2 linked regions of the Struthio camelus genome follow. The protein of the gene in region 1 interacts with the protein of each later gene in a pairwise test. Links are inferred from orthologs where the notes say so. Each region holds a gene or a part of one and is shown on either strand. Other genes may lie near its edges.

Region 1 (14,190 bases):
CGGGTCGTTGGCGAGTTCCTCCTCCTGCTCCTCGGGCTCCACCTCCTGCTCCTTCGCCTTCTTGATGAACTGGAACTCCTCGTCCTCCTCCTCCGAGGACTCCATGGGCGCGTAGTCGGGCCGCTTCCCCGACACGTACCGCTTCACCTTCACCTTCTCCATGGAGAGCTCGCCTGCGGGCGGGGCGGCCGTCACCGGGGCCCGGCCGGCCGCCACCGGGCCCGGGCTTCCCCCCCCCGCCGCCGCCGCCGGCCCCCCCGGTGCCCCGCTCACCCTTCTCGTTGCGGACGGGCACGGCGCCCGCCGTGGACTGGATCGGCGGCTGCTTCATGAGGGCGCTGGGGACCGACATGGTGGCGGCGGGTCGGGACGGGACGGGACGGCGGCAGCAGCGGCGGCGGCTCTGGCGGCGGCGGGCACCCTCCTCCCCCGGAACCGGAACTGCGGCCGCCCCCGCTTCCGGCGGAACCGCCGCCTCCCGCCCCCGCGAGCCGTTGGCCGGAAGTGACGCCACTGGCGGCGGTCACTTCCGGCGCGCCGGGGCGGGGCGGGGGAGCGGCCGGCGGGGGCGGCTGCCGGTGCCGCCTGGGGCCGGGCCGGGGGTGCTGCGGGCCGCGGCGCTGGGCCGCGCCGCCCGGGGGAGCGCCCCCCGCGGGCCGCTGCCCCCCGCCGCCGCCGGCACCCAGGCGACGGGCGGCGTCGCGCCTCGGCGGGCGGGGCGGGGGCGTTCGGCTGCGCCACCTGCTGCGTGTGTTTTCCCCGTGGTCCGCCGGGCGGCGGGGGGAGGCGCTGGCGGCGCAGCGCGGGTGCGGAGTTGCCCCGAAGGGCCCTCTCGAGCGCTGGGGAACGGGGGACGCGTGAGCAGGCCTTTCCTGCTGGCCGGAGCTTCCCTCGGGCCTTGGGGCTCTGGCCCTCCGCTGCTCGGGCTGCGATTTTCTTGGGGCATCTGGTCGCCTCTTCCCTAATCCACGTCCTGGTGCTCAGGGCCTTTGGCTCTATCTAGAGTCTTGGTCTCCGCCTGCTGCCAGCCTTTTGGGTTTCGAATTATTTGCCCGAGGTAGTGTCGCTCTAGATAAAGCACACCATCATGGGGTGAGAGATGACTGAGGCACAGATGCTCACGGCCCCCTTCTTCCAATTTAGTGACTGAACTCTGAATGGAAAAGATGTTCAGCCCGTGATGTAAGTTCCTGCTCCTTCTCCATTTGTGCAGCTAAAGTGGAGATGATGAGCAGCAAAAGCAGAGCCAGCAGCTGCTGTACAGCTGTATGGATATTGGATGTCAGCGGCTCCACGGTGCCACCGTCCCTCTAACTCCTGCAGGGTCTTGCTGAGGCTGTGGGACGCATCCTGTGCTTGGTGGGGCTGCAGAGCTCCTCCTAGCACGGCCAGGGGAACCTGTTGCTCTTTGGGTGGATGGTAGGGTCCGACTGCAGAAGCTGCTGTGGGTTCAGTTCGTGCTGTGCCTGTTGCCAGCCACGCTGGGTCTTAGTTCGTGCTGTGCCTGTTGCCAGCCACGCTGGGTCTTGGGGTTGATGTCTGACCTGAGACAAAGCCTGGAGCTGTGAAGGTTTTTCACTGCTGTGTTGATCAGAGTCTTGTCCCGGGCCCTCCTGCTCTGTAAACTAGCAGCAAACCAAGCCAAGCAGGAGCTTCGCTGCTCGGGTTCGTGTCTTCCCAGGCTGCCAGGACGCCTTCACAGCTCCCTACGCAGCAGCGCTTCTCGCTGCAGCACCGTGAGCACCTGGAGGCTGACTTACCCTGGAGGAGCGGGACTCTCCTGCTGTTCTGTGGGGGGAGATGCTTCTCCCACTGCCACCACTGCAGAACCTCCTGGGGCTTTCCCAGTGCAAGTGACGGGAGGTTTGTGGCATGTGTGTGGCAGGAAGGGCCTGGGGGCGTGGCTGTTTCATAGCAGGGGAGAAAGATTTTCTGAATGTGGCAGGGTGCTGCCCACGTAAGCACGCATTCACCACGGTCATTGCCTCCGAGGAGGTGCTAGAGTTCACAGAGGAAAACGGCTGTTCGGGAACTGATCAGCTTGCAAGAGCTGCCCTGCTTTTCTGTGGCACGGAAAACAAGATTTCTGAAGTAGGGCAAAACTATGTCACAAACCACCAAGCCAACGTCTGCAATTTTGTGCTGCCTTGAAAGAAAGGAAGAGGTTTTTATCTTCCAGGAAACCTAGCTGCAGGACTTGAGCCAGTCTGCGACACATCTCGTAACAGGAATTTGGGAAGTGGGGAGGGATGAGTGCTGTGTTAGCCGTGCGCGTGGCAGGTGGTCGCCCTGCCCAGCCCCGAGCAGGGGCCCTCGTGGGCACGTTGCGGAGGCCACGGGGTGTGATGGGCATTGCTAGAGGTGGATGCCCAGGAAATCCAAAAGCAAGTGTGTTTTCCCAGATGGAGGTTCAGCGCTGGAGCATGCTCCCAAAGGAAAGGCAGCAAACTCTTCCTTTTGGTGTCCTGGGCTGCAGGCTGGGAGGTTTCCTCGTGGGAGGATGTGATTTAGCCAGTGCAACTTACTGTTCTGAGGGAGCGGGGTAGTCCGGGGTGTGGAAGGAAGCGGCAGAAAGTGGTTCTCAGCAGCAGCACTGCCCCTGGGTCCGGGCTCTGCTCGTCGGGGGCCGCGGGGCGTCCCAGGGCTGCTGCAGAGGTCTCCAGGCTGACGCTGCGGGGGATTCTGTCTTGGGGGAGCCTCTCGCCTTGTCCTCGGCCCCTCTGCGAGAGGCGGGGCAGGACCAGCTGGGTAAAGCGGCTCCTGCCAGCGTGGCTAAGGCCCTGGCTGCAGGCCGAGAGCGCGAGGAGGCCCCTGGGCCTGGGGCAGCGCCGCCAGAGCCAGCCCATCTCGCAGCGCTGGCTGCCTGTGGCCAGGGCATCCCGGGCGCAGCCCGTGGCGTGGCGCTGCGTGAAGGTGCTTACTGCAGCGCTCTTCGGTAGCTTTGCGTCTCAGACAATCCCTGTTTCTGCTGGCGAGACCCAGGCAGACCTTGCTGCCTTCGCAGGAGCCTCTGTGCTTACAGGAGCTGGGGGATTTGGCCAGCCTGGCTGCAGAGCTGCGAGAGGAGGAGGGATGGAGCGCTCGGGCAGGGCCCCAGTGCTGTGGGTCTCCCTCGGTGCCCTGCCAGCTTGCGGTTTGCCCTCGCAGACAAGGCATTAGTGGCTTTATAATCCTACAGCAACTGATGCCCAGGAATAAGCAAGAGCTCTCGGTGTTTCTGGCATTTACGTCCTGACGGCAATTGGAGCTCCAGGCCCAGCTCCCTGCTCTGCGTTTGATCATCTGATGAGATATTAATCTTGTGTGGTTATCACAGTGTGTTCCCACCTAATGAATCCAGTGTCACCATGGCAAGGAGTGAGCTTCAACATGTGACTCAGTAGGTGAAACAATTAGACCTAACTGTTAAAGGAGAGCTTGGGAATTGCACACAAAGCACATAATGTGCCATTCAGGTGGAGTTAAAGACCTCAGCAAACAGGGACGGGCTCTCCCTGGCTGGCTTCGGTTCTGGGGGACGGCAGAAGCCTGAAGCAACGGCCGAAAGCAGCCCGGAGCCCGCAGCGTGCCTCCTCTGCCCCGCGTGCCCTTGAGAGCCGCAGCCGAGCTGCAGAAACCGAGTGCTGGAGTCGCCTGAGCTGGTGCAGGGGGGCTGAGGGAGCCTGCTGCGGTGCGGCCTGGCCCTGCCCTGGCCAGGGAGAGCCAGCCCGCGCCGGGCCGGGAGCGGCGGTGTCCTGTCGCTGCTCCTCCCTAGCTGATCCCCTGCGGACAGGGCAGGCTGGCAAGAGCCTGTGCCTCCGGGCAGCGGCCCCAGCCGCCTTCCTCCGCAGACCAGGGACCGATGCCCCTCAGCCCCGGCCCCGGGCGCCAGCGGCGACGTGTCGGCCCCGAGCCTTCAGCCAGCCTGGCGGTCCGCACGGGGCCGGGCTCCGGCGGGGGCGGCGGCGCGGCGCGAGCCTGAGCTGCCCCTTCCCTGCGCTCGCGGAGCCGGGGTGCCGTGGGGCGGCGTGCGAGCTCGCTGCGCCCCGGCACCCGACACGGGCAGCTCCGTTCCCTGCTGCGTTGTCAACTTGCTGGCTAAAACCTCTGCCCGTCAGGCTTTGGACTAAATTTCTTTGTTGAGATCTATGAGCGACCCCCCATGCCTCACTGCAGCCTAAGGAGAAAAAGGGGGTCCTGCCCACGGGCTGGCACGGGTGTTTCCTGCGCGCGCGCACCTGTGTTCCTGTTTGCACTGCTGTTTGTGCTGAGACCCCCGACTGCGGCAGGGACCTTGGGGTGCTCAGGCCAGACAGGGGTGTCCCTTGCCGTGAACAGCGATAAGCTGTACACAGGGCATGAGGTGGCAGGGTGTAAAGCAGCAAAGCTGAAGAGGGGCGGTAGCACGGCGGGCTGCGGATTTGATACCTCGGCGGCCTTATGGCTGTTGACGGCAAAGTCAGAAGGCAGATAAAGTTACAGCCCCCTTCTGAGCCGCCACTGTTTGTGTCTGCAAACTGTACCGCAGGGCAAGGTCAGCGTGTTTGGGGTGGATCTCGAGAATCCCATGTGTGTGACCACAATAAAATGTTATGTCTAGGAGCGTGACTATGAATAGCGCCTCGTGAGCCATCGGGACCTTGCAGACGCAGCTCCAGCCCGGGGACTGCAGCCGCTGCAGCTCCGCACCCTCCTCCCGGCGCGCCAAGGCCGTCTCAGGAACCTGCTGGTAGCGTCCGGCAGTGAAGTGACGTGAGGTGAAGGGGTTGGAGAGATTCCAGAGGAAAGTGGGATCTGCACCCCGAGGTTTGGGAAAGGGAGCAGAACTGTGCAGGAAGGGGGGGCTGGGGAAACGTGTCCGCAGCAACGCGGAGGGCTGCGGACTCAGCCCCCCCCCTGCCGTGGGAGGGTTGCATGGGAGCAGCAGGCAGTGTGGCCACTGCGCTCTAAGTAAATATTTAGTTATTGATTTGGTCCCTCTTGATGTCCTCTCTGTGATGTTATTGCTGTTTGTTTGGTTTTCTCCTCTGTGAGGGCCTCTGTCCTTCCTCCGCTGCCTTTCCTTACGGGAACCCCTAGAGCGCTTCCCTGCTTTGCCGTCTCCGCTCGCCCTGTCGCTGCTAGGCGCAGCTCAGCTGCGGCCCCGTCAAACTCCCCGGGTCACCCCCATGCAGGTGCCTGTGGACGAGGGCGCTTCCCCGTCACTGCTCAGCCTCTCGGCAGCTCGGGCAGACTGGCAGTCGCCTTGCTGCTGAAGCTTGTGCAATCTCTGCAACCAGGACAAAATTTGACCTGATTTTTACATGCAAGTTGATTTCTATTTATTTTTGTGCACAACCTGACTGTGCCACGTAGAGCGTGTGTTTGATGCTGATGAGGGTAGGGAGGCCTCGCCCTTGCCTCGGTGTGGGCCCCGCAGGGGATGGTGTGCAGCCTCCGTGCTGATGGCACGCCTAGCAGGTAGCTGGCGGGCTGGCTTGCAGCAACACACTGCTGGTAGGATGGTCAATTAGGAATCACTGAGCAGAACAGCCAGCTCCTGGCTGTGCCCTTGAATGCCTTGATACATCCAAGGAATGGCAACCAAAATCAGTGAAATGTTAAAGGGGAAGGTTCATGGGTTTTTGCAGACGCTGTTGTGGTAACTACTTCATCCCCTTTCGCTGCTGCCTACAGGGGAACAGCAAAGGAGAGAAGCATTCAGCAGCGGTTGTAAGATCTGACACTAGCCCTGCTGTCCAGTTCTTGAGCAGCCTTCCAGGAGGGGCTGCTGGAAAGCAGATCCCATTCACACAGGAGGCCTCACCCTGTGCTCCAGGTGCTCCCAGGGTACAGGCATCATCTCTGGCAGGAGCAAAGAGAGGTCAGCTGTGTAATTCCAAAGCTAATAGTTTATGCAACAGATAGGTGCTTCCCGTTTGCCTCCCCTGGAGCACTGAGATAAGCATGCGGTGGTGACAAGGGGCCCTTTGTCAGCTCCTCTCCCCCAGCATGGTATGTCAATAAGATCCAGGTGGAGCAGCTCTGTCACCTGCCTGGGCACAGCCACAAGCTCCTGCATGATGTATCTGAGGATGCCCACAGGGGTCCGGGGGGGGAACAGCCTGTGCCACTCCTTCGCTCCCACTGCAGAGCTGTCATCGGATGTAGGACCTGCTTCCAAACCACGTGGACCTGGGAGACCCCTGTCTCCGTGGGCAGCTCGAGTCTTTGGCCGTGCATCAAGGAACTGGGACAGCGGGAGGGCCGCCAGGGAGCGAGCAGGGCCTGCCCTGACTGGCAGCACGCAAAGGACAGTTTTTCACGGTCCTGTTGTTGTGGTGGGGTGGCCGGTGATCGCCGAGCTGGGAGGGGGTGCGGGGCCGTGCCCCCTGGATGCGGACGACGGGCCCCGGGGGGGGGGGCAGCTCTGACTTACCAGAACTCAAGCGGTTTGTGTTTCCAGGAGGGACTTTTTGGGGACAGATGTCGTTATCACCTCGGCAATCTAGAGTTTCTGTTTCTGAAGCGATGTTAGAATCGGATATTTGCCCTTCAAAATTAACCTAGTTTAACAAAGAAAACTACCCTGTGCCAGATTTTCTGGGTTGTTCTCAGCATCTCAGTTTCCAAGGTGACTGTTTCCTGTACGATTGCTAATGCTTTATAATCTCAGTCATGATATCTAAGTGACTTCCTCCTCTTTGTCAGGAGATGTAAGATCTGCTCTTATCCTGGGCTTCTCTGAACCCCCTTCTGAAGTGCAGAGGATTCAGGTCAGTTCGGGCTCTGCTGGTTTTTGCTTTTGCATTGCTCTTAATGCGGATCCTATGCATGTGAGGGATGAAAGTATACGTGCACATGTATATGTTTTGAAGAACGACTAAAGCTGAAATGAACTGCAGTTCACTTCTCACCTTTTCTCCTTGGTGGGAGTCTGTCTCCTGAAATTTGAAACTAGAGCGTGATTGATTTTCCTGGTGTCGCTGCCTTCCCGGTAGTTTCTGCGGGAGGCTCCTGCGCGCCGCCCGGGGCCGCAGCCGTCGCGCCGCGGTCCCGCAGGGGCCGGCCGCGGAGCGGGTGAGCGGCGGGGCGGGACGGCACCGGGCGGGACGGGACGGCACCGTCGGCTCCCGGGGCGGCGGCGCGGCGGAGCGGAGCGGAGCGGAGCGGGGCGGGCGGCGGTGACGGCATCCGGCGGCGCCCGGCGGAGCGGCCGCCGCGCCGGGCCGCGCCGCGCCGCGCCGGGCCGGGCCGAGCCGAGCCGAGCTGAACCGGGCCGAGCGGGTCTGTGCCGAGCCGAGCTGGGCTGAGCGGGTCTGTGCCGGGTCGGGTTGTGCCGGGCTGAGTGGGTCCGTGCCGAGCCGGGCCGAGCCGGGCTGAGCGGGTCCGTGCCGAGCCGGGTTGTGCCGAGCCGGGCCGGGCCGGGCCGAGCTGAGCGGGTCTGTGCCGGGTCGGGCCGGGCCGAGCCGAGCTGAGCGGGTCGGGCCGAGCTGAGCGGGTCTGTGCCGGGTCGGCTCGGGTCGGGCCGGGCCGAGCCGAGCCGAGCCGAGCTGAGCGGGTCGGGCCGGGCCGGGCCGAGCCGAGCTGAGCGGGTCTGTGCCGGGCCGGGCCGGGCCGGGCCGGGCCGAGCCGAGCCGAGCCGAGCCGAGCGGGTCCGCTCGGGGCGGGGCGGCGGCGCTGACAGCTGCCGCGCGTAAACAGGCGGCTCCGCTCGGCTCGGCTCGGCCCGGCCCGGCCCGGCTCGGCTCGGCTCGGCCGCCCCCTGCCTGGGCCGGGCTCGGTCCGGGGCGGGGGCTGCGCGCTGCCCCGCGGCGTGACGCGGCGCCGCCGCCGCCAGACGGGCCCGGCCGCCGGCGGGACACAGCGGGCAGGGCCGCCCGCGCCGCGGTAAGGGCGCCGCGCCGGGCCGGGCCGGGCCGGGCCGGGGTTCGGGCCTCTGCGGGGCCGGGGGCGGCGGGGGGCGCGGGGGGCCGGGGGCGCCGCGGCCCCGGGCCGAAATCTGCCCCGCTCCCAGCGGGGACTTCGCTCCGGCCGCGCCGCGGCGGCCGCCGCCATCCCGGCTGCCTCCTCCGGGCCGCTGCGGAGCCGAGCCCGGCCCGGGGGGCAAAGCGCTGGTGTGGGGCGATGCCCGGGGCAGCCGAGCCCGGCCCGGGGGGCAAAGCGCTGGTGTGGGGCGATGCCCGGGGCAGCCGAGCCCGGCCCGGGGGGCAAAGCGCTGGTGTGGGGCGATGCCCGGGGCAGCCGAGCCCGGCCCGGGGGGCAAAGCGCTGGTGTGGGGCGATGCCCGGGGCAGCCGAGCCCCCGTGGCCGCCGCGCTGCCTCGCCGTCGTGTCGCGCCAGGCGGCCGCTCCGCGGGCCGGACCCCCTTGGCCCGGGGCGCCCAGCGCAAGCCGGTCCGTCCCGCCGCAGGCTGGGCGCCGCGCCGGGCCCCCGCGCAGCTCGGCCCCCGTGGGTGCCCGCGGGCGCCCCGCGGAAGCCTCCCGCCGCCCGCCCTGGCGCCGCACCTCAGCTCCCCGCGCTCCCTGGCTGGTTCCCTTCCCCGGCGGCTCGGAGGCTCTTTCCCCGCCGGGAGCTGTGGTTTAGGCCTGGCGTGATCCGGCGGGCAGGGCTCCCCTCCCCTGGGTGCTCGGGGCCTCGGCCGGCCGAGGCCCGGTCTGCGGAGGGGGCGGCCGCGTGGCTGACTCGCGGCGCGGTCTGCCCGCCGCGGGGTCTCCAGCCCGCCGCCGGGAATCGCTTCCCTGCCGGCCGGCGCCGCGGGCTCGTTGCGGGCCGAGGCCCTGCGCTGGCGGGAGGGGGGTGGCGTTCGGCCGGGCCCAGCCCCGTCTCCTGCGCCGCGTTGCTGGCTCCTGCCTTTCTTGCTCTTCCAGGTATCTCGCGATCCCTTTGGAGCTCGGTGTGTAGAGCCTCCCCCCGGCTGCCTTAACGCAGCAGGTTCCTTTGCGTTCGGTGGGGTCACCGGCGCCCTGCTCCCCACCCTGCCTTCCCGGTGGTCCCTCCGAGGCCGTGTGCGCGGTCCTGCAGCGCCCCTGCGTGCAGGTCCCCGCACGGAGGAGATGCACGCGTCCTCTATCCCGGTCCCTGTGGCTCTTTCCTGTCTGCGCTGGGATGAGTCACGCTGGTGTCACCATGTTCACGTTATGCTCCTGGAAGGGCAGAGCGGAGCCGTTGACGGCGACAGGCAGCAAGGCGCTCGCTGCCGTCTGATCGACGGCAGATGGTGGCGGCGCTCGGGGCTCGGCTGACCACATGGCCAAGGCTCTCGCCCGCTTTCCTCCTTCCCGCCCCTCGCTCTCCCCCGCCGCGGCCGGTCGGCCAGGTCCCTTCCCGAGGCGCCCGCGTGTCCCCGCGGCGGTGGGGCCGCCGCGTTGGGCTCCAGCAGAGAGGTCTCGGGCCGCCCGGAGCCGAGCCGCGGCTCCGCTGCGCTCCCCGGCCTGGCGCAGCCGCCGCGACGTCGCCCCCGGGGACTGGAGAGGCCGGTTCCCCTCCCGCTTGCTCCTGGCTTCTCGCCCAGCGCCGGGCGGCTGCGGAGACGGGACGTGCCGCGGGCGGCGGGCTGGGGCGGCGCGAGCCCCCACCGGCGCCCTCCTGCCCTGCGGCGCCTGCGCCGAGCCGGCCCGGGACGAGTCTGACCGCCCTTCCCTCTTTCCACAGATCCTGGTGCTGTCCCGGCCGGGCTGCTCCGGTACCGCCGAGGGCCCGGCTCGCTGGGCTGCGCCCCCATGGTCGCTTGGACGGCGCGGGGGCCAGCGGGGCGGCGCGGGGGCCGGAGCGCCTCGGGGCGCTGACGCCGAAGAGGCCGCCGGGCCCGTCGCTGCCCGGACCCTGGTGCTCCGCAGCTAGAGGAAGCCCCGATACGCTGATGGATCTGAGGTCCTGCTCGCTGCTCCTGCTGTGGACGCTGGTGGTTGCCCTCGCTCTGCTGGCCCGAGAGGTGCTGGCCCAGCGCGTTTACACCAACACCTGGGCTGTCCTCGTCCCCGCGGGGCCCCGGCAGGCGGACCGGCTGGCCAAGAAGCATGGATTCCTCAACCTGGGCCCGGTAAGCGCCCCTCCGCTCTGCCCCGGGCAGCCGGCGGCCGGAGCCAGCCCACAGCCCCGGTGCCCTTGCGGCGGCCGCCCTTTCGGGGCCGCGGGGCCGGGTCGCCGGCGTGGGCTGCGTCGGCTCCGGAGGCGTTTCCAGCCCCTTGCAGCGCTCCCGGCGGGAGCGGCGCCCAGGCGAGGGCACGGCTCAGCGCTGCCCGGCTTCGCCCCGAGCGAGCCGTCCGGCGGCGGCCCTGCGCCCTCGGCCCTGGAGCGCCCGTCCAAGCGCGTGTCAGCGGGTCCCGCGGCCGCCCGCTTTCCCACGGCCCGCGCAGGTGCCGTGTGCCGCCTCGGCCGCCCTCCTGGCGGGGTGGCGGGACGGGGTGACCGCGGAGGAGCGCGGCCGTTCCCGCTGGCGCCGGGCTGTCCGCAGCGCGCTCCCCGGCTGTGCCGCGCTCCGGGCCGCCGGCAGCTGGTCGCGTTCCTCGGCGGGTGCGGGCGGCGCTGGCTCCGCTAACGAAGGCTGCGGTGCTGGGGCGCGGGAGCCGCGGGGCCCGGCCGGCGGCCGGCAGAGCTGCCCGCCCATTGGGGTGGCACACCGGGCTCCGCTGCTGTCTTCCCCTGCCGGCAGGCCGCTTCCAGCCGCCCAGGGTCTCTTGCGCCTGTTGCTGGAGCGCGGTGAAAGCTGCCCGGCACCGCTGTCGCGGCCCCGTCGGCAGCGCTTTTCTTGGCCCGGTGCTGGGCCGCGGCTCGGGCACCGCAAGGGCAGGGCTCTCCGCCCTGCAGCCTCAGCTGCCTGGCCGGGCGCACGGCTCCCCCGCACGCGGCCGTCCCGGCGCAGCCGCCGTCCCGGCGCAGCTGCCGCAGGGAAGGGCCTGGGGAGGTCCCGCGGCGCTGGCGCAGTCGGAGCACCGCCGACGGGGCTGCCGCGTGAGACCGGCTGAGCCGCCGGTCAGGACCGGGTGTTCGCCGGCGCGCCGCGGGGCGGGTGGGGGGCTGAGGGGGCCGGGGCGAGCGACGGGCCGCTGCTGTCCCCGGCTCGGAGGCTCTGCTGCGCCCTGGCAGCTGCGCTGGCTCTGGCAGGAAGGAAGCTCGAGGTGAAATCCCAGAGGAAGTTGCACAACTCGCGGCTGCAGTGTCAAGGCCCTGCTGCGAGCCAGCTGCCTGCGAGCGGCCGCGGGGCGGGGAAGGTGGCCGCGTCGGGGCGGCTCGCTGCCCCGTCCCGGCCGCCCCGGGCACGCGGGGAGCCGCCGGGCAGCGCCCGGCTCTGGGGTGTCCCGGGGGCAGGAGGGGTGAGCGGCCAGGCCCCTCTGCGGGGTCTGGCGGCGCCGGAGGAGCGGGTGGCCTCGGTCGGCGCGCGGAGGCGTCTCGGAGCAGGTCGCGGGGCCGGGTGAGGCGCAGAGCGACGCGGGGAGCACTCGGCTGGAGCCGGCCGCTGCAGAGACCGCCGAGCGCGGGGGGCCGGGCTGAGGTGAAACCAGCCTTTTTCTGGCTGCCCGAAGCCTTTCCCGGGCTCGGCCTCTGTGCCAGCCGCCCGCTCGGGGGCCGCGGGGGCGACGGGGCTGTTGGGCCCCCGCGAGCCGGCGTGGCGCGGTGCTGCACGCGCCTGGCTGGGCAGCGCCGGCCCTCTGCCGCGCCACTGCTGCGGGCTGGCACCTCTCCACCTGGCTGCCGAGCTGCCGGCCGAGCAGGAGCGCGCAGCACCTGCAGCGCGCCAGCCCGGGCTGGGATGGGAGGCGCTGGCCTGGGCACGTTTCCCCGCGCCTGGAGCCCATCCCAGCGCCCGTGCGGCAGGACCAGGCTTGGCCCTGGCAGGAGAGCCTGAGCGGCCCGCTGGGAAGAGCAGGGGAGGGAGGAGGCCGCGCTCTCCCTCCGGGAGAGTCGTCTGCAGCCGATCCTGGGGGTGTTTGTTTTGCTGGGACAGGATGGAGCAGCCAGGCTGGAGGAGGGAGGCGGAGGAGGGCTGGGTGCTTCTGGCAGCACCGCAGCGAGAGGCCCCGGGGTCCTTATCTCAAAGGATCCTGGCCTCGGCTCGGTGCCTGGACGCTGTCCTCGAAGGCACGCCGTCCCGGCGCGCTCTCTGCGCCACCTCTGCCTGCAGCGCCGGGGCGGGCGGACGGCGGGCGAGCGCGGGCGCTCCTCCGGCCGGCGTGCCGGTGAGACGGGAGCGCGGCCGTCGTTGCCGTGGGGCCCAGGTGGAGGAGAAGGGTCCCGGCGCTGCCGGCTCCGGCAGGGCGGGAGGCGCTGGGGAGGCGCACGGCCGCTGCCCTCGGGACGTCCCGGCCGGGTGCCGGGCAGCGCCGCCCGGCAGCACCTGCCTAAGCTGGACTCGCTGTTGGGACGGCAGCGAGAAGGGGCGTTGGCAGCCGCTGCGGTTCTTCGGGGTCTGGCTGCCCCTCTGGCAGGGGAGACCTGCGCGGGGCTGCAGGTCTCCGATGACCCCCTCCCTCCCGCCGAGGCAGCCCGCGGCTCCGCTCCCCGCGACGCGGCGGGGGAGCACGGCCGCCCCGCGTGGCCTGCCCGGGGGCTGCGAGCCGCGGCGGGGGCCGGGCCGGCGGTCACCGCTGCCTGCCAGGCTCCGTCCTCGCGAGCGCGGGCGCTGCCGGCGTTGGGCCCCGCGCAGAGCGGGTCGCGCCCGGCGACCAGGCAGAGCGGTGACGGGCCTGCGGGAGCCGTCGGGACTCGGCTCTTGCCCGGAGAGGGCGGCGGCGCGCTGGGCGATGGCACCGGGGCTGCTGCCTCCGCTGCTCCCCTCCGCGCGGCAGCTTTTTCCCTAGCAGTTCCCGAACGGCCTGAGCTGTTTGGTGTCGCGGGGTGCAGCGCTCCGTGGGGAGGAGGCCTGGGTCCGTCTCCGCGCTGCCCCGCGAGGCAGGGCTCCCCGGGCGCTGCGGCCGGCGGCGCTGGCAGGAGCAGGGCGCGCGCCAGGGAGCGGAGAGGCGGCGGGGCGGGCGCGGGGCCTGCCGGAGCGCGGGGCGGTGCGTCCCTCGCCCCGCGGAGCGCGGCCCGGCCCTGGCGCCGGGGCGCCTGCTAGCGCCGATCCTCTCCCTCCCGGCTTGGGCCGGGGCAGCGGCGCGCGGCTCTGCGGGAGCGGGGTGGGCAGGGGCCGAGCGCTCTTTGGAGGCCCTCTCCCTCGCGTTGCACTGGCCGGCCTTGCCGCGGGCGTCCGCCCCGCGTGCCGGCAGGGACCGGCCCTTCTGTCGCGGGCGGCAGGGTGGGATGCGCCACTCCGCAGCCCGGCCAGCCTCTGGGGTGTGCCGAGGGGAGACGGAAGTGACAGGGCTGCAGAGGGTTTATAAATAACCAGCTGGGAGGCGGCGTGGCCGGCTGGGCTGCGCTGGCGTGGCGCTCTTCCCGGCCCCGGCCCGGAGCTGCTCGCCGGCCGCTCTCGGCCTCCTGCCAGGGGACGAGCCGTGGCCCAGCCGCAGGGCGGTGGGGGGACGCCGCGGGGGACACGGGTATGCTGGGTTTGGGGTGCGCCCTGGGCCCGGTGGCGCCTCTGCAGCCCGTTGGCCACCCCCGGCGGTGCCGTGCGGTGCCGCTCACCGGCCCGGAGCTGGTGTGGGGCACAGCACCGGTCCCCTCCGCCCCTCCTGTCCCTGGCCAAGGCTGCCGGGGCGGCGGCGGGTGCGGGGGGAGGACGGGGAGCCGGGGCCGGGGTCTCATGCCCGTCTCGCCCCTTGCTCCGTTGCAGATCTTTGGTGACTATTACCACTTCCGGCACAGCGGCGTGGTGAAGCGCTCGCTCTCGCCCCACCAGCCCTGGCACAGCCGCTTGGCCCGGGAGCCGCAGGTACGTGCCGTGCGCCGTGGGTGCCTGCCCCGCTCCTGGGGGCCCGGCCGGGGCGGTGCGTGAGCCGGGGGCCCCGCTGCGGGCATAGCCATCGTCGCTGGCCGGTGGCCTGCCGCGTTCCTGGAAAGCGGGGCAGTCCCGGCTCGGCGGAGGGCTCCTCTCTCCGGCGCGTGGGACGAGCTGTGCCAGGCCCCAGCGCGCTGGCCGGGTCGACGCGGTCTGCTGGCCCGGGGCTGCCACGCGGCCGGCGCCCTGCCCAGCGGGGCGTGCGGCACGGCCGCTGCCAGCGGGCTCCGAGCTGGCCGGCCCGCTGCTCGGCAGGGCCCGGCGCTCCGGCCCGCCGCGCCGCTGGAGCAGAACCACCTGGCGCCAGCGCCCGGCACGGATGCCGGGAGCCCCTCTAGCGTGGCGGGACGCCC
Region 2 (15,142 bases), on another chromosome or scaffold:
TGAATCAGCGCTAACAAATCCCAATAAGCCTGAGTTATCTCTGTGTTTAGAGACTCTGCTTGCTACTCTGCTATGTCCTGCCATAGTAATGTGATCAGGGATTCTGTTCTGAGGGCTGTCCAAGCCCCTCTTTGCAACAGACGAGGGAGAGTTTACCACATAGTCACCTTGTTATGTTGGTCCAGCATCAAAAATGCTGTTTGATGCTACAGGAAGTTGACTGATGTTTCACAATATAGTCTCCTGTTCCTAAATGGAAGTAACTGATAATTAGCGAAGACCCCCTATTTTTCAGTGTGACATAAATATGAAAAGGACTATCAAACAGGTATTAAATTACTGCTCTACCTCTGGCTCTCCCCTGAGATTTGAATCATGTCCTAAAGAGAGGAAGCCTCCATACAACTTATCAGCTTGTTTGTGTTTTCATGAACATGGAGAGTGTGCAAAATCCAATTTCTTGCTATTTGTTACCATAGTTGAATTCTAGAAAGATTAATTGTCTTTGTATTCTTACCCCCACACATTCCTTTGAAGATGTGTCTGATTTTCATTTTCCACCACATCTCAAGATCGGCATCTTTTGATCTTTATTGTGACTAGATATTGATTTCAATGAGACAGGGATGATGAGCCTCTGTTCTAGGACCACTTGATTATGAGGAAGCGCCTGGTGCGCGTTGCTTATTGGATGCTGAATAAAGAATTGGCTTTGTATTGTTGTTTTTCTGATTATATATAAATGATAGCCCATTGCTAATAAAATAGGTGAATTTTAATATGATGCCTTCTTTAAGGCAGGCTCTGTCAGGTTTCTTTTGCAGGGGCATACGGGGCAGCACAAATAAGTGATGCGCGTCGGGATCGCAAAGTCTGGTGTTGGCCAACTCCATTGATAACAGAACAGTGTTGCATTTGAAGAGAAAGATGACCAAAAAGAGGCAGGCAGGAGAGAGGACAGACAAGCTCCTCATAAAAGTAATAAGCCCGACAGACTAACAATGGGTTATATTCTGCTGCCCAGCAGGATTTGGTTTGAGTTATTTATTAGACCTGCTAATGAAGGAAGCACCTGGAGAATACTGCTGCTGAAACAAAGCTGTGGAGAAGAGAGTCTGGAACCTGAGCTAAAACTGTCTATGCTTCATGTGTAGGGGCAGCCTTGAGACCAGATTTGCTGCCTGTCTATGACACTTGAGGCAACCTACCTGGCAGTTTGAGATGGTATCAGGGGATTGAGTGCTCTGAGAGTGGTTCAGCAGTCGCCATCAGTCATGCCTTACTTTGCAGTATTGTCCTGTGACTGACACTGGGTACAGAAGGTGGCCTAAAATGCTGCTAGGACAGACCTGCCAATACTGTCTGCTGTAACAGATAAGGTGTTTAGGGTGCCAGAACTCAAGTCTGAGGTCAGGCTTGGGCAAACTGAACTCAAAGTACTGCCTCTTAGCAGCATCCTGGGCTCTTAAAGAGTGCTAAGACTGGCCAGTTTAGATCCAGTGTGGATGTAGCTAGTAGGGCTTGAATAATCCTTAAAAAGCTGTTTCTAAAGTGACTGCCTGAGGGAGAATCATCCTCCCAAGGGAGGGAAAAGAAACTTGAGAAAATGTTCTGTGTGGAGCAGTTAGTTGGGCGAAACCATGAGGAGCTGGAAGGAAGGAAGGGAGTGGGAGCAGCAGGCCAGGAGTTCCTTTACAGGCTTCAAGTTTGAGGGAGTCACTAAAGACTTTAAAAACAAACAAAAAAAACCCTAATGGATGCTACCCCAAAGAAAGGAGGGCTTGCTGGTAACTCTGAACAACTAGCATTAAAATACACCACTGAGCATGAAAGAAGGGGGATGTGATAATCTCGCTACAACTCTCTTCAGCCCCCCCGCCCCCTTTTTTTTTTTTTTTTTTTTTTTTTTTTTTTTGCTAAAAGGGCTGAAGGTGATCAATGGTGAAGAGATCAGTATTGGGTTAAAGGCTTCCATTTTAACCAGCGTAAACATGCTTGGCCCCCCCCCCCCCCCCCAAAAAAAAAAAGGGAGGGAAAGGGGCAAAACATAGCAAAACCAAAAAGAACCCACAAACGATCTCTCATGAGTTTTAGCAACAGCCAGTGTCTTTATCAAAGACTGTTTTGAAGCTGTGGCTATATGAATATGACCGTCATATTTACTGCAGACTTCCAGGGGAGGTACTTGCCCTTTTCCTGTCTCACAATGGAGGGAAGTTGGAACACAGGCTTATACTCAGTGAAATAAGTGATTTAAAAATATTTCAACTTGAATTATTTCTGCTAAGCATGCAACTGAAATGGTTTATTTCTGAAAGCTTCTAACCTGGCAGTCTCTCTGCAGCAGTTAGTTTTGTGAATCTCTGTGCTTTCAGGCTTAAACTAATAGGGGTCGAAGAAATTAATTCTCTCAGAAAAGGCATTGTTGGATCAATATGGAGCTTTATGGAACTATGTGTGTTTTTTTTTTTTTTACTGCCACGAGTGGGAAAACCGATTTGTTTCAGAGAAGAATAAGCATTTCTGTCATTCGGTAGTAACAGTTTGCCAGAGGCTAAAGTGTGAAACATACTGATGGAAAACCACTACTGCGGGATGATGTTTTGCAAGCATCCTGTTGATTGGTGTTTCTAGATAATGATGCTCTGTTTTATCAAAAATATTATGATTTCCTCTTTTAGAAATGAGCGTTCCTGCTCCTTTATTGTTAAAAAGCCTTTTAACAATGCCCACGTTCATGGAGTTGTTGAACAGAACGTTATGGGAAGAGCTGTTGTGAAAGACAGTAAAGAATCTTGTCTTTTCCAGGACAGAGAGAGAATATCCATTACAGAGCTAGTAAGCCAGCCAACTGTTACGTTCCACGGCTGGTCGGACCAGATTCCCTCTAACAGCAATCCACTTACCTTAAATCTCCTCTGTCCTGGGTTCTACCGTTCTCTTTGACAACTTGCTCTGAGATTTGCACATCCTCCATTAGAGAAAATGCTCATCTGTGCTCTAACACGTCTGTTCTCATTTCAGAAATCTACCGCATTGTTTCACAGAAGCAGATTGCAGATCGATCTGCACACGATGAGTCTCCCGGCAACAATGTAGTTGACATCAGCGTCCCACCAACCACCGATGGACAGAAATCCAACAAACTCCAGTGCTGTCAGAACCTGTGACCTCCTGTAGATGACTTTTGTGCCCCTCACTTCGTCTGTGCTTCATTTAGAAACTTGTGTGCACTTCTTTATCTCCTGTGATTCAGTGACTCCCTCTTCCCTCTTTCACCCCATCCTCAAGCCCCTCCTTTCATCTTAGAGCTTTACTTGTAGGGCTAACATTCTCCTGCCTCTGAAATCCCCTTAAATGTGATGACTTTTGGGCTTGAAATATAGGCACTGATCTGATAGACATGTTTTGTGTTGGAACATCTGCTGCTGGATATTATCCCATGAAGCACTCTTCTCAAATGGTTTTGGTTTTTTGTTTTTTTGTTTTTTTTCTGAGAGAGAAACCATGGGGACTTGATTATAACAGTTGAACAAATAACTACATTTAGGTTACAAGGTTTTTTTCCTCTCGTAGTCAGATTTTTCTCTCATGTCTCTATAAGCACGGGGGAGAAATTAGAAGAAAATAGCTGTCCTGCCAAATGCTCTGTTCTCTCTCCTGATAAGTCTCACAGTGAGGTTTTTAGTGGCTGCACACATAAGAAAGCTGTTGAAAATAACATTACTTATTATGTAATTACCCCTAATACAGTTAGTCTGGCTGTGTAGTTTACTGTTTTCTGCTTGGGAAATTTTTCTCTATTCTTGTTTTATTTGGGAACAATGAAGTACGTCTGCGTTGCTTTCTCTGCCACCATGACTGCCTGTGCTGCTTGTTCAGGCTTTATGAAGTGGCTTAATATTTATTCATGGCTTATGTTAATCAGTTAATGTTATTGTACAGTAAGTGCCAGCATATTGATTTCAAAAACCTTTTGCAACCTATACAAGTAGGCTCATTTTGTACTGTAGATCAGTGTCTGAAAGCAGGATCTTCTCTAGTTCAGAATTCTTTTGCATGCTGCTTCTTCTCTAGATCTCTCCTACCCCTGTTTGAGTGAGTGAAGCAATATTTTCATGTCATGTATATACCTGCACTTGTAAGGGTTTTGGTTGTTGTAGAGAAACACAATACTTTATACATTTTGTAAAACTTCTGCAGAACCATAGCATCTTGAACTTTCTTTTCATGATCTTTCACTATTGATCTTGTGCATAATCTTCTTGACCTCTACTAAAAGGCATATTAAGATTTCACCTACTATTAACCTGTTGCTTCCCTCTTACCCTGTTTTACTGAATTGCAGACTGTAATTCTCAAAAGATTGTAATTCACCTGATGTAACAGATTTGTCATCAGCAGGGCTAACTGCTATAATATTTTGTTTTGCTGAATGGGAGGAATGTTATCACAACTTTGTGTAGTAAGTCTCTTGCTAGCTTGTGAAAATCCTCTATGATGATGGCTTTTTGTCATTCACTCTTTACACCCTTGCATCCCTCCAGTAAACACTGAATGTTACGATGAGGCAAATACTGGGGGAAACTATCTCAAGGAAGAGTTGGAGACCATCTGCTGCTCTCTGGAGGCTAGTGAAGCAATTTGCAGTGAATTTTTGCTCTGTATTCTTCCAAATTCTGAGACTGTGCCTCACTTGATTAATACTGTCTGCATGTTAGTGAGTTGATTTTCTTTTCTGATACAAAGCAAACGTGAAACTGTAAGTTGTGCTTGAAGGGGAAAGCTGACATTCCACTCAACTGTTTTGTGTCTGGTTATGTAATAAAATGAAGGGCGGTTAATTCTGATGGCTTTTCCTTTATAAGATTTCTAGACCAATGCCTTTAATTTTGTACTGTATGCACCTTGAGGGCTGTAGTTCAAAGCTAAGGGTGTACACATCTTGCTTAGCATTTTCAGTTTTCAACTTTGTTTAGAGGATAGGTTCAAAGTAAAGGAGCGCATGCTTTGCAGCCTAATAGCATTGAATGACGATCTGAATTCTTCTTTGGGTGCCACAGGGTTCTGCCCTAAGGGAGTCATAGTATTGGAAGCACTTTCAGCACCTGGTACTTAATTTAATAGCATCCTGTTGAGAAAGGTTCAGCAAGTGGGAACTGGAAACTTCTCCTTTTCGTTGGTCATACAAACAGGATGTGATATGTAGTCAGTACTTAAAATGGTGGCAGGTGAGCACAACATCAGAGAGAGTGGAAATGCTGAGATATTTCAATATTTCCTTCAAGAACAAGTAGTCACTAAAGGAGGCAGGCTCCTTACTCTTAATTTTGAACAAAACTTTGTATAGAGAAATGAGTTGGGATAGTGTGAGGAAGAATTGTGCAGTTAAGACTTAGTCCAGGGTGACTTAATGCATTTACTCTGCAAATCCTGTTCTTAACATGAAGCTTTTGTGCATGAAGCTCTCTGCTGGTGGCTAGGATTGATCTGAAATGGTTTAAGAAGCCGAGAAGTAGTTTAATCAGTTCCTGGTCTATTAAAAGAAATTTTCTGTAGACTTTTCCACAAAGTCAAAGACGAAACTTTGCCTCAGAGTTGCAATGAAAGGTTCACGCCTTGGGCTTAAGTGCTGTTAGATTGGATGGGTATTGAAGAGACCCTGTACAACTTCACCATGCATTGACCAAAGCCGCCTTGGAGCAAGTGGCTCTGTGAAGTTGAGGGCGTTAGACCCATACGCGCTACAATGGTTGAGGTGTTTCTGAAAACTGTTCTGTGATTGACGTGGAAGGCCTGCTGTCTTTTGCTGCAGAGCTGTTTATCTTACCGTGGATTGGTCTGCTTAGGATGTGGGGAGCATACGTGTATACGTGCATGTGTGCACATGCAGAGGTTTTGTGAGTGCTGTATGCTAAGTGGTGGTTTTATCTGCCATGGTCAGTCTGTTTCTTAGAATAGGTATTGATTCTTTCCTAGATTGCTTTGCTGCTTTCCAGGCAGTTAGAGAAGCAGACCTCCTTCTGTGAGTTTGAGATGATTTTGCATATACTAAGCACAGGGATAACAGTGCCAAAAGAAGACAGTGGACAGTTTGTTTTTTCCTGGGAAAACTACATTCCTGTGCACAAACAGGGAAAAAGTTTTTGATCTTTTGATCCCTGAATATCCTAATTAAAGCACTGTATACTTAACAGAAGCTATAGCTACAACCAAAACCACTACTGGTAACGGCTGCTGCAGTTGTGCAGGGAAGACTCGGAGGAGTCCCAAGGGAATGCTTAAGAGCTGTCTAAAAAGAATTTCTCTGATAGGCCACACTCTTTACCATGCTTTCCTGACGTGGAAGCAACTGAGTTAAAATGTAACCTCAGCTGGACTGCTTGATGTCATAATTTAGCTGGCTCCATATCTCAAAATGTGTCAGGGATATAATAAAGGCTCCAGTTCTCTTAAGCATGTTGTAAGAAGCTTGGAGGCAAAATCTGGCTTATGGTAAAACCTCAATGACTAGAAAGCTGCCTGTGAAAGAAAAACGTGCTATACTTACTTCACTCAAATATTGATATTTTTCCTAAATTTTGAAAGATAACACTAAAAATTGTTGCTTACCACCCTGGGTTAGTAACGTAGTAAATGTTAGTTGAAGATCCCTGCTAGGACTGAAATTAGATCCACCAATGCAGAAGATAGGTGTATTTTTTGCTAATTCCCCTTTTAATTATGGGGAGAGGAGAGGCCAGAATTAACATGTAAGAGATTTGCTGCTGAGCACACAAATAGGTAATCTGGTTAAATAAACTCATTGGGGAGATTGCCTCAATTTAGCTTTTTTGCCAGTTGAGTGAAGTGCTTACAAACTGCTTCTGTGACACTAGGTGAGTTAAGGAAGAAGTTTAGAATCACCTTAGAGCTAGCTCTCCTGTAGCCCCCACAGGACAAGAAAACTTGGATCGGAGGAAAGTTTTAAAGCACTGTGATTGTGTAAGTATAAAACTGCAGTTGATGGGGGTCTGCTGAGGCTGCTTGATGCTTTATTGAAGAGAGGTGTGTGTGCGCGCCTCAGAGGACCATCAAAATTGGGTAGAAGGAAAAGGAACTATTATCCCTTCTTCCCACTTCAGCTGCTCCTCAGTGCTTTGGCCAGGTTAGAAGCAGTAGAATGACTGCTGTGTCCCAAGATCCCCAGCTTGGGTGCTGTGATATTATTTTGCTAGATCAGTTCTAATAACTGCACAATATGTAGAAAGGCTGGTAACTTTTGTGCTAACAGGAGGGAGCTCTCTCAGCTGGACATACCAGGATGCTTAGGATTAGTCTGTGCCTTTTATTTAAGCAGGTCACTCACCAAAAGCAATTTGATCAGCCTGGAAAAATGTACAGTAGGTATTTTGACTTCCTGATGCTTTGATTCCTGCATGCTGTACAGTTCCAAAAGTTGTGGATGTGATCTGTTTGTGGGGTGTTTGGTTGATTCTTATCTGTGCTTGGTGATAAGTTTTTTTTTCCATTCCAAGCATGAAGGTAGAATTTGCTTAGAGGTTCTGATCTGTGTAGAAAAAAATACTAATGAAGTGATCTGAGCACTTAAGGAGGCTCTTTTCCTTCATATAATGTGAAGAAAAACAGTATTAAGGGTAGGGGCCTGAATTTCAAATAAGAAAAATCAGGCAATTAGAGGTGAAGACTAACTATCCTTTAAGATACAGTGGGTCAGGGCTGAGGCCAGATTCGTTTGACTTTTAGACTCTGAATACAGTGATACTGCAGATAATTCAGTTTCAAAGGTGATTATTATAATGTTTCCATGGAAAAATAGTATCTCCAGGGCTGCACTGTTTCAGTAAATAACAGCAATTCTTATTTTAAAACAGTCAGATAATGTGCAGTAGTGTTTGTCTATCAGGCTTTATAGGCTATATATAGCACTGGACCTTTATGCAACCCAGAAGAGAGATTCCTTTCATTTACTTCTACTCCTGGTTCCTATTCAGTTAAGTGCAATTCACTTTGTAAATATATACATCACTTGATTTTTGTGCATGGTTATTATGTATTGTGGATATAAAGATTGCCAAATCATATTGTGTGTGTAAAGTTCTGTTTCAAACCTGACTGTAGAATGAAGTGGGAACATAACTTTGGCTTTGGAGCCAGTAAGTTACCACATCCAAAGTGCCATAATTGATATTAGCATTAGCAACCCTGCCATTGCCAGTGGCTGGGGGGGGGGGGGGGTGTGGCAGGGGGGTAGTGGAAGTCAAAGCATGTTATTAATGACCTTTGGTATCCATTACTTGTAAGAGCAGATGTTCTCAAACTGGTTCTTCCCATTGTCTCAGTATGGCTTCATTATATGCACATATTTTTTTTTTCTTCCCTTCAAAATGCAAATGCTGTCCATCCAGTTGGTCTTTGAAGGTCTTCCTGGTGCCCTCTAGTACCTGGCCTGGCAATACGAGTGCTAACTCCAGTGTCTGCTCAGGAGGAATGAGCACATCTAGTGCAGCTGCAGGGAACCGAGGTGGGATTGTTGCATTCATGGTCTTCCATGGAAGGATGGTGTAATCTGGCCTTGTTTTAAGTTATCTGCTCTTCTAGAGACAAGTATTTAGAATAAGGTTGATCTGAAGTCAACACTGACTTAAGGTGCAGGACTCGAATGAGTTGTGCACAAAGGGGTTAAAGGGGGAAGTTCAAAGATTTCTTTGGTAATTCCCACGTGTGAGGAAGAATCCCAACTCCTAGGAAGCCTCCTGGTGAAACCCCAAGTGGGGAGGGAGGCTACAGTGGCCCTGACACGCTCCCGCTTGCTGTGTCATGCCTCACCTTGGTCAGATGATTTGGGCCTCCGCCTGTCCACTCCCCTTCCAACTTCGCGAAGCTCTGGATGTGCGGAAGAGGAGGCGCAGCTCGCCCGTGACCAAGAAGTGGGGAAAGCAGCTGCCCTCCGCCCCTCGGCTGCGGGACCGCGCCGCGCCCGCCCCCGGGGCTTCCCCCCTCCCTTGCTTTCCCGAAAATGTCGCCGTGGGGAGCCCGGAGCAACCCGCAGATGACGCTACCGAGGCCGAAGCTCGCAGAGGGCAAATGAAGCGTTGTAGCTGCGCCAGTGCCCGGTCCGGCAGCTGCGGTACGGGCCAGAGGGGGGAAGCGCCGGCCCGAGCGGCGGCTGCGCCCCGGGGCCGGGCGGGGCGCTCCCCCCCCCCCCCCCGCCGGGCCGCTATTGGCCAGCCGCTGTTGCCAGCGGGGTCGCGTTCCGACGCCGGCCGGCTCCGCGCAGCCCATTGGGCGGGCGGGCTGTGGCGTCAGCGCGGCGCGGCGCTCGGTGCGCCGCCGTGACGGCGGCCGCGGGCGGGGGGGGGGGGGGGGGGCGGCGCCCGGCGGCCGCAGGAGCCGCGCGAGGCGGCGGCGCGGGCCGCGCTGAGGGGCCGCGGGCGCCGGGACCGCAGGTAGCGCGCGGGGGGAGCGGGGGGGCCCGGCCCGGCTCGCGGCCTGCCCGCCGCCGCCGCCGCCGCCGGCAGGACCCGTCTGCAGCCGGGCTGCGCGGGCCGGCCGCTCTCCGGTGCGGGGCCGGGGACGATGCCCGGGCTCCGGGGCGGGCGCCCCCTTCGCGGGCGGCCGGGGAGGCTCCCTGGCCGCGGGAGGGCGGCTCGCCGCCGGCCTGACGTGGGAGAGGCGCGGGCTCGGGGTGCGCGGCGCTGGGCAGAAACGTAACCTGGGGGAGGGAAGGCTGGGAGCTGCGATCCTTTATTTGTCTGTTCCTCTGTCTTTTTTTTTCATTGCCGCGGCTGTGAATAATTATTTTTGGAAAATGTTTCCTTATAATTGGGGTCTCATGTTTTTCCTCTTTTGGAAAGACCTAGCGCGTGTTTTTGCCCCGCTGCGTGGCGTGACTGGGGAGGCAGCGCTTGCCCGTAGTGCCGTCTCGCAGAGCGAGCTACAGCGATTTCCCACGAAGCGCGGGTCGGTGTCGCAGTAAAACTGAAGAACTTCCTGCGAAAGGGCTTCGGAGCACCGGTTTTCTCCCTCTGTGGCATGAACTTAGAGTTTGTAATTGACTTTTTTTAAATTGGAACCAGTAACTCTCTCTGTTTTGCTGAAATTAGCCTTCTTGAGGCAATTTAACTGCTAGTGGCGGAGGCCAAGGTGGCTTGTTTGTGGGATTTGTCCAAGGGATGAGCTTGTGGCTTGCGTGCGGGAAGGTTGATTGTGGCATTGGAACTGCTTTTCTCATTGTCTCAACCATTTACTTGAGCCCATTTTCTATCTAATGGGGAGATCAAGATTAAAAACCAAAAAACCCCTGCAACGGTCCTTTGGCTGAGACTTCTTGCTTATCTGTGCAATTGCCTGGCTAGTTGGTAACCCACAGAAATGGTGCTCACCTAAACGCGGCCTGACATATCTGTGCTGTAGGAAGTTATCACTATTGATGAGCGTTAAGGTTGTTTTACAGCTTGTCATCTCAGAGCAAGTTGTGCAAAGCTCAGGGTTTTTTTTTTTTTTTTTAAAAAGAAGATGAGATGGTTTTGAAGTCAGGGCTGACAGTGACTTCCTGGAAATGCCAGGGTCATCTGGAGCAGATCTGGCATCGTCAGGTGTGTTTGTGTTCAATGTAGTTATCCCCAAAGTGTCCGGAGACTGGGCTGGCCTCTCCTGAAGGGTGTGCAGTGAAGATCTGTCAGTGGGGTCCCGCTCCTCATCACACCCTGTACCCTTTATTTGCTTGCGCTCAAAGGACTGTGTGTATCCGAGCTCCTCCCCTGACTTGCCTCCCCAGCTTTTCTCCCCTCCCTGTTACCAGTCCTTGTTTCAGGCTTTCATTCTCCCATTCCGCTTTCCTTCCAGCAAAACGCTTTTCTCTGTCTTTCCCTTCTGAAATAGCTTCTAGCATTTTCTTAATCTTCTAGACCTTTTTCCAGATTCTTGTCAAGAAGGCCTCTGACATGGTGCTGCTGCAGGTCAGCTCCGATGGCCGTGGCCAGTCCCCTTTATCCACCCTGCTCTTGGGAGCGTACAGCCCTGCCTGGTTGTCAGGCTTACACGTGCACCAAGTAATCCTTCGAACAGCTGGATGTTAGCCTTGTCTTTCCAAGGCTTAAGTGTTTAAGGATTATGGAGGCAGCTGCAGCGGAGAGGGGAGAGTAAAGCCCTGGTTTTCCAGGTGCATTTGAAACTATGACAGTACTTTCCCCTTCAGAAAGGGGTTTGAAGAGAGAGGAGCTGCGACTGGGAAATCCCTTTGTCATGTGCTCTGTACAGTGAATTTAATAACTCAAGTTGGGAACACAAGGCTTAGCAACCCACAAGCATGGACCGTGGAGCATTACAGGCCAGCCTGCGTCAGAAAGGAAGTCTTAACTTTGCCAGGTGTGGACCAGGTGGCACAGGAAACAGCCAAGCATGTGCTTAAGATCTATACCATGAACGTTAAATATCAGCTGTAAAATCGGGATCAGAACAGGTACACTGTGTGATTAGCTAATCGCACTGCTGGCAGTCTTTAAGAAAACATATGAAAACAGAAAAAAGCAATAGAACTAATGATCTCTTGTTTCCAGCATGCTTGACTGCCTTTGTTTCCAGCAGAATTACACTGAGGTCGCCCCATGTTGGACACCAAGGAAACCATGCAGACGAGCAGTGTTATGAATGTACTAACTGCAAACAACTTCTGTTGGAGTTTTTTGCTTTAATAGATGCCAAAAAGGGGGCTTTCCCACTCTAGGTTATTGATGCTGGCCTGAGTCAAGCAAGTGCAGGACACAATGCTTCCCTGAGAAGAAGTTAATCAAGACTCCTCAAAGCAGCAAGTACAAAAACAACCCAAACCACTCCTAGCGCAGGCTGGGAAATGAAGAGATTGATGCTCGAGGTGGCCTCTGAGGCCCTGTTAGTCATGAGGGACTGTTACAAGTCCTCAGTCTGTGGCTTTGTAGTAGTCCCACTGGCTGAGCTGCAAAATATCATGAAAAAAAAAAACAACTGAAGTTACATTAGTCTTTAAAATATCTTGACTTTTTATACTAAAAAAAAGCAGAACCTTAGAAGAATGAAGGGAGGAATCAGGCGTCCTGAACTGTAAACTACCAGATGAGTTTATTTTTCCCCTGCTTGACTTTGACTCAGCTTTGGATGTTTGGAGATCTCGGAGTTTCCATTTTCTAAACTGCTCACTTTTTTTCCTCCAGAATAAAGTTCATAACTGTTGTCTTTTTAGCCTCTTCCCTCACCAGTTTTATTTACTCGGTTTAACTTACACTTCTGCATGCTCTTAGTGCAAACTCTTACCACGAGAGAGGAATGATCTCCGTTTACTTATGTTTGCCCCCTGGAAGATACACTAACCACTTCTAGGTATCCTTGTACAAGACAAGTCGTATGACAAATAAAGCTGTGGGTTTCTTTTGTGATCCGAATCAATGTTATGTTAGCCAAGTGCTTCAATGAAGTTCACGTAAAATGGCTTTCCTGTGTAGGAACTATACAGGACAAAAGCCTAAACTATAGCCTAAGCTGTGCTGAAGCACAGTTCATGGCTTATTGGGAAAGTTAATGTTATGCACGTGAGTAGCAGGTTTTCCACCTGTCCAAATGTAGGCTCTCATGGTCTTCCCTGCTCTCTGGTCTGCTTAAACTGTGGCAGTACCATTCCTGGGCGGATGCTCTCACGCTTGCCCTGTTGTGTTTATACCGTATTTGCTGTTGGACCATATTGTGGCTGCAGCTCATCAGTGTCGCAGCCGTACAAATGCCAAGAAATGCAGCTCTGCTGGGAGAGGTGGTTACCCACTTAACTTGAGTATTTGGGAGACCACTCTGCTGTTTTATTTCACTGCATAAAAGTGTGGGGAGATCCTGCCTTCTTACAGTTTTGATCACTTTTTACTATGCTGGAAAATGTCTTTTCATAGCTGTACTGGTTACAGGTTATAAAAAGTCTGAATGCGATGGTAAAATGCAGAATAAAACACATCCTCAAGGCACAAGCTGACAAAATATCTCTGAGTAGGAGCTGAACCTTTCATATCCACTGGCAAAGAGAACAGCCTGACATCAGGTGTACCAACCTTCTGGAGCTCTTCCTACCTGCCAGTCGTGCAAATGCATTATTTGCCCCAGACCTCTCCAGGATAAAGAGTGTTACAATTGATTTGAATTGAACTGTGATTTGTCCCCGTTTTCAATCAAAACGTGCATTTGTAAATTTGCTTTACTTTCAGATGTTAAGTAGCAATTTTAAGTAAACTTCTTAACTTTCCAATTCCTGATCTAATGCAAGATGATAACATGTGGTTAACCTCAGGGGCAAACATAGCTTAGCTATTAAACATGCTGTAGCTGTTGTTGCAATTTTAATCAGTTGACGTGAAGTCATGGTGACAGACTGGAGAAAATGTTCTCCTGCTGTCCTGAAAATTAAGATATTTTTTAGAGGGGGAAGGAGCAGTATTGGCTTGGGAAACACAGCAAGCACAAACAAACAAAATGTAGTTTCTAAAACACCTCTCAGAACTTCAAAGAGGGGAATGTAGGAAAGCTCTTGCAGTCTTGGCTTTACCACCTGTTGCCGTAGAAGTTTTGATCGCTCTAGTCCTGTTCTAAGTACAAATTATTAGGGTTTGGGTTTGTGAGAGGGGAAGCTGCTGTCAGCAGTTTGCAAGGTAAGCTACAACTCTGGACTCTCCTCAACCTTTTTTCCCCCGCTCCCAATTTTTCTTGTACTTCCCTGCAGACAAATCAGTCAAAGCCTTTGCTTTCAGAAGAACTGTGAATGCAGCCTAAGCAAAATCTTCCAAACTGAATTGGGAAGAAGAGAGAGACGGGGATTTTGCAGCACTTTTGTGAAGTTTTGCTTCGGAGTTGAGGGAATTTGTAGTGATAAAGAGTGGGTAAAGGGAGGACATGGACTAAATCAGTTAAGATCAGTTAATCCTGTTCATTGACTGACCATGCAGGAAGAGGATGCCCAAAGTTCATGCCCGCTTTGGAGATCTTCAGGTGCGGATGGATGGAAGGGTAGAAGGCTATGGCAGTGCCTTTACTGGAAAGCTAAGTGTGCTAAAGAGTACAGGGAACTAATTGGGTTGCAAAATACAAACAGGCAAGTTAATTTGGGATCAAATATCTCTGTTACAGGATTAGTTTGCTGCCTGGTTTTGAATGGGGGTTACATGCTGGCCGCATACTACTCTGAGCAGTTGGAGCACTCTCTTGTTCTGAGCAGGGTTGCTGCATGCTGGCGGATGGTTTGTTCCAGTTTGTCTCCAGGCAGAGCATAGTTATTTGTGTAACAGTGTACATGGTGCTTTATAAACCAAGAATGAGAACACTGAAGCAAGTGCAAGTTCTTCCTGGCATAGGATTGCAGATCCTGAGAAAATGTTTCGCATCCTTCTGAGTAATCCCCTTTGAGGGAGTGACCTGTCCAATGTTGTGTGGGCGTTTCTTTGTTGATCTGATGCATGTGTTATTGCTACAGTAAAGTTGATGTTTTCCCCTATATTTCCCAAAGCTGGAAAATTCATTTGCTTTGAATAAATTGAAACTGCCTGGCAGGTGACTGCATAGGACAGGGGAGCTGTTGAGCTTTGGCATTACTGCAGAGCCTGCCTCTCTCAACAGGGAGCTGTCTGAAGCTATAGGAATAGGAAGCCGACCTTTTCTTGCTCTTATTTCAGTAGAGGACATAGGTGCAAAGAGAAAGGAAAAGCCACATAACTCCAATGCCTTCAGATGGCAGCAAGGGTAGGCAGGAGCAGGGCAGAAAAGAGATGTGCTTGTGGGTGGTGTGGCAGGGATGTTTTCTCCGCTGATGGGTAATGCTTTTTGCAAGCATTGCTTTTTGGGCACAACAGCCAGGTATTTTTCCCCCTGGTTCATGATTTCAATGAAACTTTCAAGCCTGGCAAAAGCATCTTTTTTTTTTCTCTGCAGACAGAGAATGGTCAAATGCAGAGAGAGGTGGGCATGAAATCAGTATAATTTCATTTATGTCATGACCCATGTTGCTGTTCACTGTAAAAAACCTGATGCTTTCTAAATACAGTGAAAGAGCAGGTGTTTCTCATGTCCCAGCTGTTTTCAGTAGTTTCCTTTTAAAACTTGTTATTAAACTGGCTGAATGGCTGATTTCTGGTTG

The links.
Region 2: the proteins of FURIN (region 1) and MARCHF2 interact in a protein complementation assay, tested with the Homo sapiens proteins (2 studies listed by BioGRID). The link is inferred for Struthio camelus from reciprocal best matches to the Homo sapiens genes FURIN and MARCHF2.

What each region holds. Positions count from the first base shown.
Region 1 is NC_090953.1:489,967-504,156, forward strand, and holds the start of FURIN (furin), read left to right. Parts: upstream 1-6,719; 5' UTR 6,720-6,734; intron 6,735-7,190; exon of another isoform or gene 7,191-7,275; intron 7,276-9,612; 5' UTR 9,613-9,820; coding exon 9,821-10,000; intron 10,001-13,672; coding exon 13,673-13,771; intron 13,772-14,190. Other genes in the region: MFAP1 (microfibrillar-associated protein 1), read right to left, coding at 1-173, 274-352. UniProt on the Homo sapiens protein: Ubiquitous endoprotease within constitutive secretory pathways capable of cleavage at the RX(K/R)R consensus motif. Mediates processing of TGFB1, an essential step in TGF-beta-1 activation.
Region 2 is NC_090967.1:782,577-797,718, forward strand, and holds the start of MARCHF2 (E3 ubiquitin-protein ligase MARCHF2), read left to right. Parts: upstream 1-8,863; 5' UTR 8,864-9,130; intron 9,131-9,374; exon of another isoform or gene 9,375-9,449; intron 9,450-9,716; exon of another isoform or gene 9,717-15,142. Other genes in the region: RAB11B (ras-related protein Rab-11B), read left to right, coding at 3,025-3,170. UniProt on the Homo sapiens protein: E3 ubiquitin-protein ligase that may mediate ubiquitination of TFRC and CD86, and promote their subsequent endocytosis and sorting to lysosomes via multivesicular bodies.